Nothobranchius furzeri: one gene and its partners. The protein of the gene in region 1 interacts with the protein of each later gene in a biochemical or structural test. Links are inferred from orthologs where the notes say so. Each region holds a gene or a part of one and is shown on either strand. Other genes may lie near its edges. The genes, in order: dynamin-1, endophilin-A1 and itsn1.

Region 1 (4,196 bases):
CTTTAAACCCTGACCCAGGCAAAAGCACGCTTTAGGAAAAGTGGCTGCACAGCCGGTGAAATGACAAAATAGAGAATTAAAGCCACATTTCAGATATTTTTAGACATGTAGATCCTCGTACGTACGTGTACACACACACACACACACACACACACACACACACACACACACACACACGTCAGCATCCTTGACTCTGAACTGAGAATAAGATGAGAACCTGAACGAATATGTGGCATTTAAGAGATAAATCAGTGGATGGATGAATTGAATGTACATCTTCAAATTATGCAGCAATTGCACTTATTAGTGCATTGATCGTGATAAGGTGTGTATTAATGAGTGTGATTACTGAGTAGACATATAAAACACAAAGGATGCTCTCAAAGATCCCACTAATGGCAGGATCTGGTCGGTGACAGTTTTAGAGACCGTGAGGATTTCCTGGTCCGTGATGACGACAGCCTGATCAGCTGAGTCCCTAAAGCTGTCCTATTTGGGTCCGGTGTTAGATCAGTCGACCCACCAGAACCGTGCAATCCTAACTCACCTGCAGCTGCAGAACTCTCAGATTTTAATATAACTGGTTTGTTCCAGCAGGAAACAGCTGACAGGGGGGCAGATGTTTGTTTGGTATGATGAGTAAATGCCAGGGAACGCCTTGGGATTCCCCCGGAGGAGCTGGGCCCAAGTGGCTGGGGAGAGGGAAGTCTGGGCCTCAGGCTGCTGCCCCTGCGACCCGACTCGGGATAAGCGGATGAAAATGGATGGATGATGAGTAAAATATGACAGTTTACTGCCTAAAGCCTTTAGTCCTGGTAAAAAGTATCGGCTAAACGAGGAAGCAGACCAGTTTGAGCGTCACAAACTTATTCTATTTTAACATGATGTGAATCTTATACAAACGCTGCTGCTCAAGAAAAATATTACAAAATTCAGACGGTGTGGATCTCTAGCTCTCTCTCTCACACACACACACACACACACACACACACACACACACACACACACACACACACACACACACACACACACACACACACACACACACACACACACACGGTGGTATTGTCGTGCCATGATTTGACTGAAGCTGTCGAGGATCATGTGATCAGCAGCGACCAATGAGAGCAGGGATCCAGACAGAGCGCCCCCCCCCCAGGCCGAAGATAAAAATAATCAGCCAATCAGGAGTCAGCTTTCAGAAGGACTCAAACTACAGACCTCAGACCTGCTGTCCTCAGCTCTGATCTTCTCACTTCAAAGTGTCCAATGAAGTGATTTGCTGCAGAAACCAGGATTAATTCACTGCTTTGGTCAGAAAGATTTTAAAATTTGAATTCAAAAGATGTTTAGAAACACCAGAACGTTTCGGCAGAGCTGGTTTCTGTCCACCTACAGGCTGAAGGTTCCATGGACCCTGTGAAGAGTGTTTGGGTGGAGATGTTGGACCTGTGCTGTTCTGATTCTGACTTAAAGAGGTCTTCTATCCAAACATCTCAAGACCCATCATTCTGTCCAGCACTGGGACGTTCTGCGGTGATAAAACAGACGCACGTAGAACCCTAAACGCATCCAGACCTCACGATGCTCTCGTTTATTTGACTGGAACATCACGAACCAGCACTAAGAAACCTTCTGAACTTGATTCTCCAACAAAATATATGAACGTGGAACAAGCGGACGAGTCCCAGGAGCCGACGCTGCTGACCGCTGATCTCAGGTCAGAGACAGAAAAACTAAAACCTGATGAGTGTTTAGGTTTAAATTCAGCCATAATTCAACTAGTTCAGATAATCAGTGCGTGTGTGCGAGCGCGCGCGCGCAACACTTAATATTCTTTCAGCAAGTCTGGTGTTCCTAATGAGCGTCAGACATTTGGTAGTCTTTCTGATCCAGTCTAGTGGAAAACAGTTCAAACACCTCACAGACCTGCAGAACCCCAAAGACCTGCTGGGACCTGGAGATCTGCAGAACCACAAAGACCTGCTGGGACCTGGAGATCTGCAAGGGTCCAGATACCTGCAGGGACCTATAGAGACCTGCAGAACCACAAAGACCTGCTGGGACCTGGAGATCTGCAAGGGTCCAGATACCTGCAGGGACCTATAGAGACCTGCAGAACCACAGAGACCTTGGGGGGGGGGGGGCGCTTATTTAATGTCATCCCACCGCAGGTCTGCGGCTGTCAGCTGGACTGGGACCTGTAAGGACCCAAAGACCACCTCAGTCCGCCTCCTCACCTGCTGCTAATCCCTGAGTTTTGCCTAATCCAGTGACCTGACACGCGCACCTTTTCGTATCAGGTGAGGATCTGTCTCACCAGTCTCACCTGCGATCTTAATGCCGGTGTTACTGACCACGTGATCATCAGGCCAATCAGGAGCGTCAATAACCAATCAGCGGTTTTGAGAATAAACGGAATCGCAGCTCAAACACGAATCGTAATCACGTGATGTAACACACAGCAACCCGGTCCGGTTCTGCCAACACACACATGCAGACAGACCGCTGGGCCCGGTTCGGACTCACTTCCCCACGAAGTTCTCCAGCACCGAGCTCTTCCCGGCGCTCTGTCCGCCCACCACCGCGATCTGCGGCAGGTCCAGGTCTGCGTTCTGACCGATGGAGGAGAAGGCGTCCTGCAGCTGGTTCACCAGCGGGATCAGCTCCTCCATGCCCCGGTTCCCCATGACGGCGGCGGTTCGGCGTGCCGCTCGGTCCGGCCGGTCAAGCTGCTGATGGATCGGGAGGCTGAGGATGCTCCTGCAGCTGTGACCTTCACTTCCTCCTCCTTTTTGCTCTGCCGCAAGGATGCTGCAGGCGCGCGCACACACACACACACGGAGTTCCGTCAGACCTTCACAATAAAAGTCCCAGAGCCTTATTTTGAAAATCCTAACGTTATAGGGAGTGTGTGATTCAGTTGTTCAGCAGGTGTCAAAAGCCTGTCAGTCACCTAAAACCAGGTGTGTTGGGAGGCGTTCCAGACTGCTGATCTAAAACGATTCAATTCCTGATAAAGAATCAGAACAGGTGACTCATTACAGAGTTCACATGAACCACTAGTGATGTAGGCATGTGGAGGTTCTGGTCGGCCCAGACTGTGTCTGACTCTGAGCTTAAGAGTAAAGAAAGTAGAGAAACACAACGATGGTTTGAGGATTCCGTCTTTAACATAAAACACATTTAAGGAAATAAAACAGTAAATCTGGTGGTGCTGCACCTGGATCAGGTGCAGCTCTCAGGTCCTGGTCTGGATCTTTGATTCCGGAGACCTGTTCAGTTTTATTGTCCTCGTCGGGTTCCTTTGTGTCACGTGACTGGCTGACAGGTAATAAATCCTTACTACAGGTAGGAGGCATTTAGCGAGCTGCACAGAAAGTGGGCGTGGCTTAAATAGTGACAAAAGGTGATCACGTGGTTCATCGCCTCCCAAAGACAAGATGCCACTTCTGTCGGCTCCTATCCAAACTCAGGTGAGACACTGGTCTCTTGGTTCAACCAGGCGTTCCTCAGGTGCACGTGCTGCTGGTCCTCAGGCGAGATGCACCTGGTGATATCCCCACAGAGGTACACGTCCAGGTGATTCCTGCTCCAGGCGAGTCAGTCTCGATTCAGAGGCTTCTTGACAAAGGCGATTGCAGCAAGTTCCTTACAGAACTCCTCAAGGACGATGATCCCCTTGAGAAGTGTCAGGTGTTCCGATCTGAAGACACGCCCACAGAAAACAACTCAGGTAGAAAATCGTGGCAAACAGCTGATTATCTGTGAAAGATCTGTTTAGTGTCGGAGTGAGTCGGGTACCCAGTATGCTGGCTCAGTCCCAGCAGGTGTCTCCTGGTATCCAACAACTGCTCGGACAGGTCAGACACTTGCTGGATCCTCTGCATCACTTCTGCCATCACCTGAGAAACAGAAAGGTGAGACAAGACTCATCAGTCTGTCCTAAAGCTGGAATCCTCCACCGCAGGATAACCTGAGGGGAACCCACGGGTCTGAAAGTGTTCAGGTTAGTTGGACATCCAGCAACATCCGGGTCCAGATCAGGTTTCCATGAGAAGGTGTGCTCAGAACCCGTGGGGCTCCATCTGGAACACCTGTCTCACCTCTCAGACCCATGTCCCCAGAGGAGAACCTGCCCAGAACCAGTTGGTGACTGGAACTGGTTCTGATACTCGTCTAACCACTTTAGAACA
Region 2 (3,649 bases), on another chromosome or scaffold:
CAGCATCCCTGATCAGCACTTGCTGCTCCCTTTGTGGCCAGCTAAGCAGAAATAATTATTTCCGAGGAGAATCGGAACTTAAAACTAATAAACCTGCAGTCAGCCAAGCTGAACACATGATGTTTATTGTGTTTATTACAGGTTTCATGAACTCTTGAGTAGAAATTACGAGGAACCAGTTCAATGCAGGAGCTTCACTCAGGAAAACCAGCATCATCTTTTCATTTGTCGTTTCTAAAGGATGTTGATGTGTTTGACATATTTTAACGGTGTTTCTGTGTAAATTAGTAATGTTGTAATGACCGCAGAGAAACATCGTTTAATTAATAAGAATTTTAGTCAAAAGACTGAAACTAAATGAAAAAAGATTTTAACACTGGTTTCAAGTTAGAAGTTTTATTTCTGCTGTTTACATAAAAATGGGTGCTTTTTTATCAGATCGTTAGTTTGTGTTTTTAATTTTGACTCTTTTCTGAATGTGGATCTGGGTGAAAAAAGAACCGTTTAAAAAAAAAGTCATTCATTCCTAAAAGCAAGAGCGGCTTTTATTCGACACGAACACGGGGAAAACGAGAATTCACCCAGTGAAAACATTAAAGAAAAGTCACTCGTGGCTTTTGTGCAACAAACACAAGTTAGACCGTTTGTGTGTGGAAACAAGATCAGAAACCACCTGCTCTTGAACATTTTACGTGTTCAAAGCTTTAACTTGTTGTTTTAATACTTTTATTCTTGTTTTCTGACTCGGATTGATTTTTTATTTGTTTATTTTGTTTATTCATTTAGCAGACGCTTTTATCCAAAGCGACTTACAATTTATAACCTATAGGGCGTGTTGTGATCTGTGGGGGAAACCCGGGGGAAACCCACGCATGCATGGGAAGAACACGCAACTCCACGCAGAAAGGCCACAGCTGAGTTTCGAACCTGCAACCTCCGTGCTGCGAGGCAACAATGCTAACCACTGCGCCACCATGATTTCTAGATTTTTACTTGTCATCTAATTATCATTCCTTTATTTATTTTAACCTGTTGAATTAAATAATTTTAATGAAGTCTTAGTGAGCTTGAGTCTATTATTTAGCCTGTTTGTTACCCTCTGTACCTTATTATGATCTATTAACTACACCCGTATGAACCCGTGGGTTTGATCTCACACCCGAGTTCTGTAGAGGATTCGACACACTTTCATCTCCCAGCAGCACTGTGGTTTCTCTCCATCATCGCCCCGAATGCAAACAGATGGGTATTTTATAGACCTAAAGAGTCAAACGGGACAGTTTTAACCCTCGTTCCTTCTGTGTGTACGTGGGTTTCTCTCTGCAGAAAGTCAGCGAGAAGGTTGGAGGAGCGGAAGGAACCAAACTCGACGATGACTTCAAAGAAATGGAAAAGGTAATTAGCTTTGTTTAAATGTGACCTGAAGCATAGGGGCAGTGGAAGAAGTGAGCAGAAGTGTTAAAGCTACTGTCAGTGGCCCATTAGGGTCCCCATGGCAACCAAAATCAACTGAAAGGTGCCTAAACTGTGAGCAGCAGAAGGATCAGGTGGGTGTGCATGTGTTTGATCTTTCACCACATGAGGAGGTAAAAAGACTCGTCACTTCCTGGTTTAGAGAGAAAACAAGTGTTTGTACTAAAATGGTTTCACGTCGCAAAATTTAAGAGTGGATTTGGGAGTTTTTTTAAAGCTGCAGGAGGAAATTCCTAACGGAGATAACAGTAACTACACATTTGATCATTAATTATAATAATTCATAGAAATATTCATGTTCTTGTTATTACTGAAGTAAAACTTGAACAGGTTTTTATTTAGGTTAAACGGTGCTTTTAAAAATCTAACATTAAAGGAGCGGTTTTACAGATGAGATGTAAAACATCCTATTAATTTTGGTGTTTGGTTTCAGCTACCGTTTGTTTTTAACATCATTTAGCGGTGAAGCAGCAGTGGATGACGGGATCCAACATGAAATGGCTCCTCTAACTCTGCACACGGTCCAGATAAATCCAGCGGTTTTATTTAAAACTCCCGACAGCTGGTGAGATGTTTACGTTTAACCTGTGAACAGCGGGGGGTAAACGGGGATGTTTCTACCAAACGTGTCCTCCGCAGAAGGTGGACGTCACCAGCAGAGCGGTTCTGGACATCATGACCAAAACCACAGAGTACCTTCAGCCCAACCCAGGTAAGAAGCATGCCAAGCTGCCCTCAGCAGCTTCCTGTGACCTCCACTCACCGCTCTGATCCCTCCTCCCAGCGTCCAGAGCCAAGCTGAGCATGATCAACACTATGTCCAAGATCCGTGGCCAGGAGAAGGGGCCCGGGTACCCGCAGGCCGAGACCATCCTGGGGGACGCCATGCTGAAGTTTGGACGAGAGCTGGGAGAAGAGTCCTGTTTCGGTGAGTCCCGACATGGAGATGTAGTTTTTACTGGCTGTTGGCCTCGACTCCGCCTCCAGTCTAGTGTTGTATTATGACTCAAGAGACCGTAAGTCAACAATAGAGAACATCTGTTCCAGGACCAGAGATCTTCCACCCAGAACCAGAAGAACTCTAACAGTAACTCAGATTCTCTCCTCGTGATTCCAGGAACGGCGCTGATAGACGCCGGTGAGGCCATGAAGGAGCTCGGGGAGGTGAAGGATGCTCTGGACATGGAGGTCAAACAGAACTTCATCGACCCTCTGCAGAACCTCCATGACAAGGACTTGAAGGAGATACAGGTGCATAAACTATTCAGACCCGGTGGATGGTCCGATCTGTCAGCCGGATCAGATGGTTACTGGTTTCCTCTCGCCTCGCAGCATCATCTGAAGAAGATGGAGGGCCGTCGTTTGGACTTCGACTACAAGAAGAAGCGTCAAGGGAAAGTCCAGGACGAGGAGATCAAACAGGCGCTAGAGAAGTTCGACGAGAGCAAAGAGATAGCCGAGCAGAGCATGTTCAACCTGCTGGAGAGCGATGTAAGTGACCCAGTCCTTGAAGAACTGGTTAGACACGCAGCTGTGGCGGGAAAATACATTCCCTCATATCCAACATAACACATGAAATCCTAATTTATACTAAAAAGTCAAACAAGTACATAATATTTACAAAAATTTAAAAAGGTTTCATGTATTAAAATTAAATATTTAGATTTAAATGTCACGGTCAGACCTAGTGACGATCAGCCGGATCCAACAACAGCCAAACACAGAGAAAGATTTAAAGATTTTATTAAAGGACTTGTTCAAGTGAGCGGGACCAGCAGGAGTCGGTTCCGGGTGGCGTGGCCCGGGACACAGAAAACAGTCAGCGAGGGAGATAATTCAGATGTCTTCATCTGAAGAGTGACTGACCTTCTGAAAACAGCAGCGGTGAGGAATGCTGATGAAGGTGAGTGCTCAGATTCAGGCTGGAGCTGAGGCAATAGACGGGTTCCTTGGTTAGGCAGGCAGAGGTCAGTAAAGAACAGGGAGGCAGGTTCAAACTCTCGAAGGACTGGCAGGACAGCAGACGATCTCGCACTGAGCAGCAGGAGCCAGGTGCTTAAATAGGGAGCAGCACAGGTGGAATTAATCAGCTAGATGACTGCTGCTGCAGGGAGACAGGAAAACACAGAGGTCAGGGCATGATCATGACATTAAATGTTAAATGATGACAAGATAA
Region 3 (3,649 bases), on another chromosome or scaffold:
GTGTGTGTGTATTTCAGTGTGTACATTGTATGTTAATTTTAGGACGCTCTGTGTGTGTGTCAGTGTGAGACGCACTCTGCAGGGAAGGCTGTGTGTGCTTGTACTCACACTGTGTGCTCGGATCAGTGTCTGTGGTCAGCTTGACGTAGTTGCTAGGAAACAGGCCCTCTCTCCCATTCAGCTCTCCTTTCCACCAATCACAGTCATCCTTGTTGAGCACTGTGATCACCTGACCCTTCTGGAAGGCCAGCTCGTCGTCGTTCTGGGCCACGTAGTCGTACATGCCGATCACCTGACACAGACCTTCAGGACAGGAAACAGGGATGATTAAAGCTGGATTGTTTACATTTATTCATGCAGCAGAAGCTTTGATCCAAATGACCTAAATTCATAGTTCTCCTGTGAGAATACACCGGAGTACCGAAGAAAACCCACATGCAAGGGGACAACATGCTAGCTGCAAACCGAAAGGATTCTTTCTTGGTCCTTAATGTAAAGCTGTAACTGTGACTGGCTCTTGCTGCTGCCACTGGGGGCAGGCTCAGAAATCAGAGCTCTTGGTTGTGGCTTTGTAGAAAGCTGCTTTGACAAAGTTTTATGAATAATGAACAGTACAGCTAATGAATCTTTAAGCTGTGCTTCTTGTCTATCACAAACTCCCTTTACCTTCTTTGGGAGACAGAAAATTAAATCTGGTATATATATATATACACACACACACACACACACACACACACACACACACACACACCAGATTTATATATATAGACATGCACGTTTCCAGAATGTCTAACTGACTATTGATGCTCTTAATGGTTAATAGTCAGTTAACCGTAAACGGCATGTAGGTGAGGTCTGGCTGAACCGTGAGTGAGAGGGAGTGCCTGTTGTTGATCTGACTGTGAATGCTCATGACATTTCATTTGCTGTCATGCTCAACTGCTACTAAATTACAGGTGAAGGGCACGAAAAGCAATTAACTGGACAAAGCTGTTATGTTGGGACAGCAGTAGCTCAGGAGGTAGAGCGGGTTGTCCAGTAATCGGGAGGTTGCAGGTTCAATCCCTGCTCTGGCCAGGCTCCATCATGTCCTTGGGCGAGACACTTAACCACCTTGCCTGCTGGTGGTGGTCAAAGGGGTCGGTGGCACCAGTGTTCAGCAGGCCTCGCCTCTGTCAGCGCGCTCCAGGACAGCCGTGGCTAAGCGTAGCTCATAATCATCAGTGTGTGACTGATTGTGTTGTAAAGTGCCTTGGGGGGTCGTACAACCCTAAGAAGGTGCTATACAAATACAGGCCATTTATATACACACAGTTATAACTGTTATGACCTCTGTGGCAGTTTCAGAGACGTGCCAGCCAGGACAGTCCCACAGCCGACAGATACCTGGAATAGAGCTCATCCAGAGATGACGTTTGACCACTTTAGCAACATCTGCCTCACAGACGGATCCATCCCAGGTCTCCCAGGTTTGGGTTGTTATGGTTAAGGAGCTCCAAAATGTATAACTCTCTCTTCCTTACCACCTTACAGCAGAAGTCTGTATCTTGCTTCCTCCTACCAACACTCATGAACTACACGTCAAGACTCTGCTTGAGGAAAAGACTCCACCCCGCTCCAGGGGACCTATTCCATCTTTTTCCTGAACCATAGCCCCAAATCTAAAACGGCACACAAACATGTGTTCTGGAGTAGTGTGTACCTGTGCTGGCAGGAGCCAGTTTGGGAGGAGTTGGTTCTGTTGGTGTGGTTTTGCTGGTGCTTGGACTCAGAAGCTTCACATAATTGGCTGGAAACCAACCAATCTGGCGCTTTTTCCCTCGAGCCTGGATCAGTGAAGTGACCACATATCAGACACTAATCCACAAACCTCATAAAAACAACAAAAACCTGTTCCATTCAAACCCAGTTTCTTATAGGGAGGTAAATAACCAAGTCAGACTTGACGCATGTGAACATGACTTGAGTACCTGGAGCTCGCCCTCCCACCAGCCCCCGGGGTTCTTTTTCCTGATGAGGATGAGCTGTCCTGGAGCTAGCGTCAGCTGCTCTGCTCCTGTTGCCGTGTAGGCTGCAATCACCTGAGCGATCTCTGAAAAAGAGAAGCGGGTTTGTTTTCCTGCTTTGGAGCTTTAACTACAAAAGTTATTTCCAACAGAATGCAAGGTAGATTCAGAGAAAATGAATTTACATCATTAGAGAAAAGTAAAAGGAACTCTTCAGGCTGTAAGCACTGACCTGGTTTCTTCCCCAGACTGCCGGTCTTCCCTGCGGGTCCCAGTGACTTCAGATAAGGATGTAGAGAGATTACAAACATTTCTTTCAAATGATCTGGAAACTAACTAATCAAAGTGAGCTCTCACTTCTATTGATGAATCGCGTGGCTTAACATAGTTGGACGGAAAGACTCCAGTCTTTCCTCCGACCGTGCCTGTCCACCAGTCTCCTTCCTTCCTGGTCACCATGACGATGTCTCCTTGCTGGAAGCTCAGGTCTCCCTGTTCTGTGCTCTCATAGGTGTACATGGCCACATATTCTGTAGGAAAAGAAAAGTAAAGTGTAAATAATAGATGCGTTATATTTGTGATGTACTGAAATGTTTCCATGAGGTACCTTCTCCGGTGTCGGAGGATTTTGTCGGAGAAGATGAGGGGCGTTTTCCATTGGGTGGGCTTTCTGACATTCCAGATTCACTAAGAGATGTGAGACATACGTAAATTCAAACTTTTGTGACTTTCATGGGATAAATATGGCGAGAGCGGAGGTTTCGACCCTACCTTGTGTTTTTATTTCGAGCTACAGTGCTGGGGGGAACGGTCACGTTGGCCGAGATGAGTTTGACGTAACTTTTGGGGAACCAGCCTCGTTGTCCATTCTGAAGTTCTCCCAACCACCACATGTCCTGCTGCTCCAACACTGTTATTATCTGCATCAACATTAACATCCACGCCATCAGGCAAATGTACAGTTTCCTGTTATCGTGTGGCAGTGATGAGGGTTCTACCTCGTTTTTGTTGAAGTTAAGGTGGTTGTCCTTCTTTGCTCTCCAGGGGTACAAAGCCTGAGCCTGGAGCCCTTCCACCTTCTCTCCCTGACAGACAGATATCGCAGCTCATGGTCATCTGTGACTCGTGTGATCAATGACTTTATCAATATCTGAGACAATGTTTCCACTACCTGTCCTAGTACAGGAGAGGGGGAGGAGCCTGTTGTCATAGTTGCAGGTGTGAAGGCGGAGCGTTGTCGTAGCTGTGCAGATGGAACACTGAGAGATGGATTCTGATTGGCTGAAGAAGTTGGCCAAGCGTCCCACCCTTCACTGTCTGATTGGCTTGTTGTGTTTGAGGGCCATCTGGAAACATTTACACAGAAAAATCTTCATTCTCATCCAAAAAGTTTTTAAGTCAGATCATGTTGTCGTGTGGGGGAATTACGTGGTGCTGAAGTCTGCCCAGTTACTGTTGCCAGATGATGTGGATGAGGAGGTGTGTCCAGGAGCCGGAGGGGGCGTGGTCATGGGCTGCGGGGCTGAAGTGGGTGTGGTTGAGGAAGTGGAGCGGAGGCTGATTGGGGCTTCGCTGTCGGGTATACGCTCTGCATAATTAGCTGGAAACCAACCGGTCCTGCCTCTGAGCTCACCCCCGAGCCA

What was found.
Region 2: the proteins of dynamin-1 (region 1) and endophilin-A1 form a complex in vitro, tested with the Homo sapiens proteins (2 studies listed by BioGRID and IntAct, with this or other methods). The link is inferred for Nothobranchius furzeri from reciprocal best matches to the Homo sapiens genes DNM1 and SH3GL2.
Region 3: the proteins of dynamin-1 (region 1) and itsn1 form a complex in vitro, tested with the Homo sapiens proteins (2 studies listed by BioGRID and IntAct, with this or other methods). The link is inferred for Nothobranchius furzeri from reciprocal best matches to the Homo sapiens genes DNM1 and ITSN1.

What each region holds. Positions count from the first base shown.
Region 1 is NC_091750.1:35,494,772-35,498,967, forward strand, and holds the start of dynamin-1, read right to left. Parts: upstream 2,844-4,196; 5' UTR 2,691-2,843; coding exon 2,530-2,690; intron 1-2,529. Other genes in the region: FHF complex subunit HOOK-interacting protein 2B, read right to left, coding at 3,604-3,706, 3,805-3,905. UniProt on the Homo sapiens protein: Catalyzes the hydrolysis of GTP and utilizes this energy to mediate vesicle scission and participates in many forms of endocytosis, such as clathrin-mediated endocytosis or synaptic vesicle endocytosis as well as rapid endocytosis (RE).
Region 2 is NC_091742.1:89,729,609-89,733,257, reverse strand, and holds part of endophilin-A1, read left to right. Parts: intron 1-1,326; coding exon 1,327-1,395; intron 1,396-1,906; exon of another isoform or gene 1,907-2,038; intron 2,039-2,112; coding exon 2,113-2,185; intron 2,186-2,257; coding exon 2,258-2,401; intron 2,402-2,590; coding exon 2,591-2,724; intron 2,725-2,805; coding exon 2,806-2,964; intron 2,965-3,649. UniProt on the Homo sapiens protein: Implicated in synaptic vesicle endocytosis. May recruit other proteins to membranes with high curvature. Required for BDNF-dependent dendrite outgrowth.
Region 3 is NC_091752.1:40,932,780-40,936,428, forward strand, and holds part of itsn1 (intersectin-1), read right to left. Parts: coding exon 3,435-3,649; intron 3,353-3,434; coding exon 3,178-3,352; intron 3,092-3,177; coding exon 3,005-3,091; intron 2,927-3,004; coding exon 2,778-2,926; intron 2,694-2,777; coding exon 2,614-2,693; intron 2,537-2,613; coding exon 2,364-2,536; intron 2,285-2,363; coding exon 2,239-2,284; intron 2,093-2,238; coding exon 1,971-2,092; intron 1,827-1,970; coding exon 1,703-1,826; intron 304-1,702; coding exon 109-303; intron 1-108. UniProt on the Homo sapiens protein: Adapter protein that provides a link between the endocytic membrane traffic and the actin assembly machinery. Acts as a guanine nucleotide exchange factor (GEF) for CDC42, and thereby stimulates actin nucleation mediated by WASL and the ARP2/3 complex.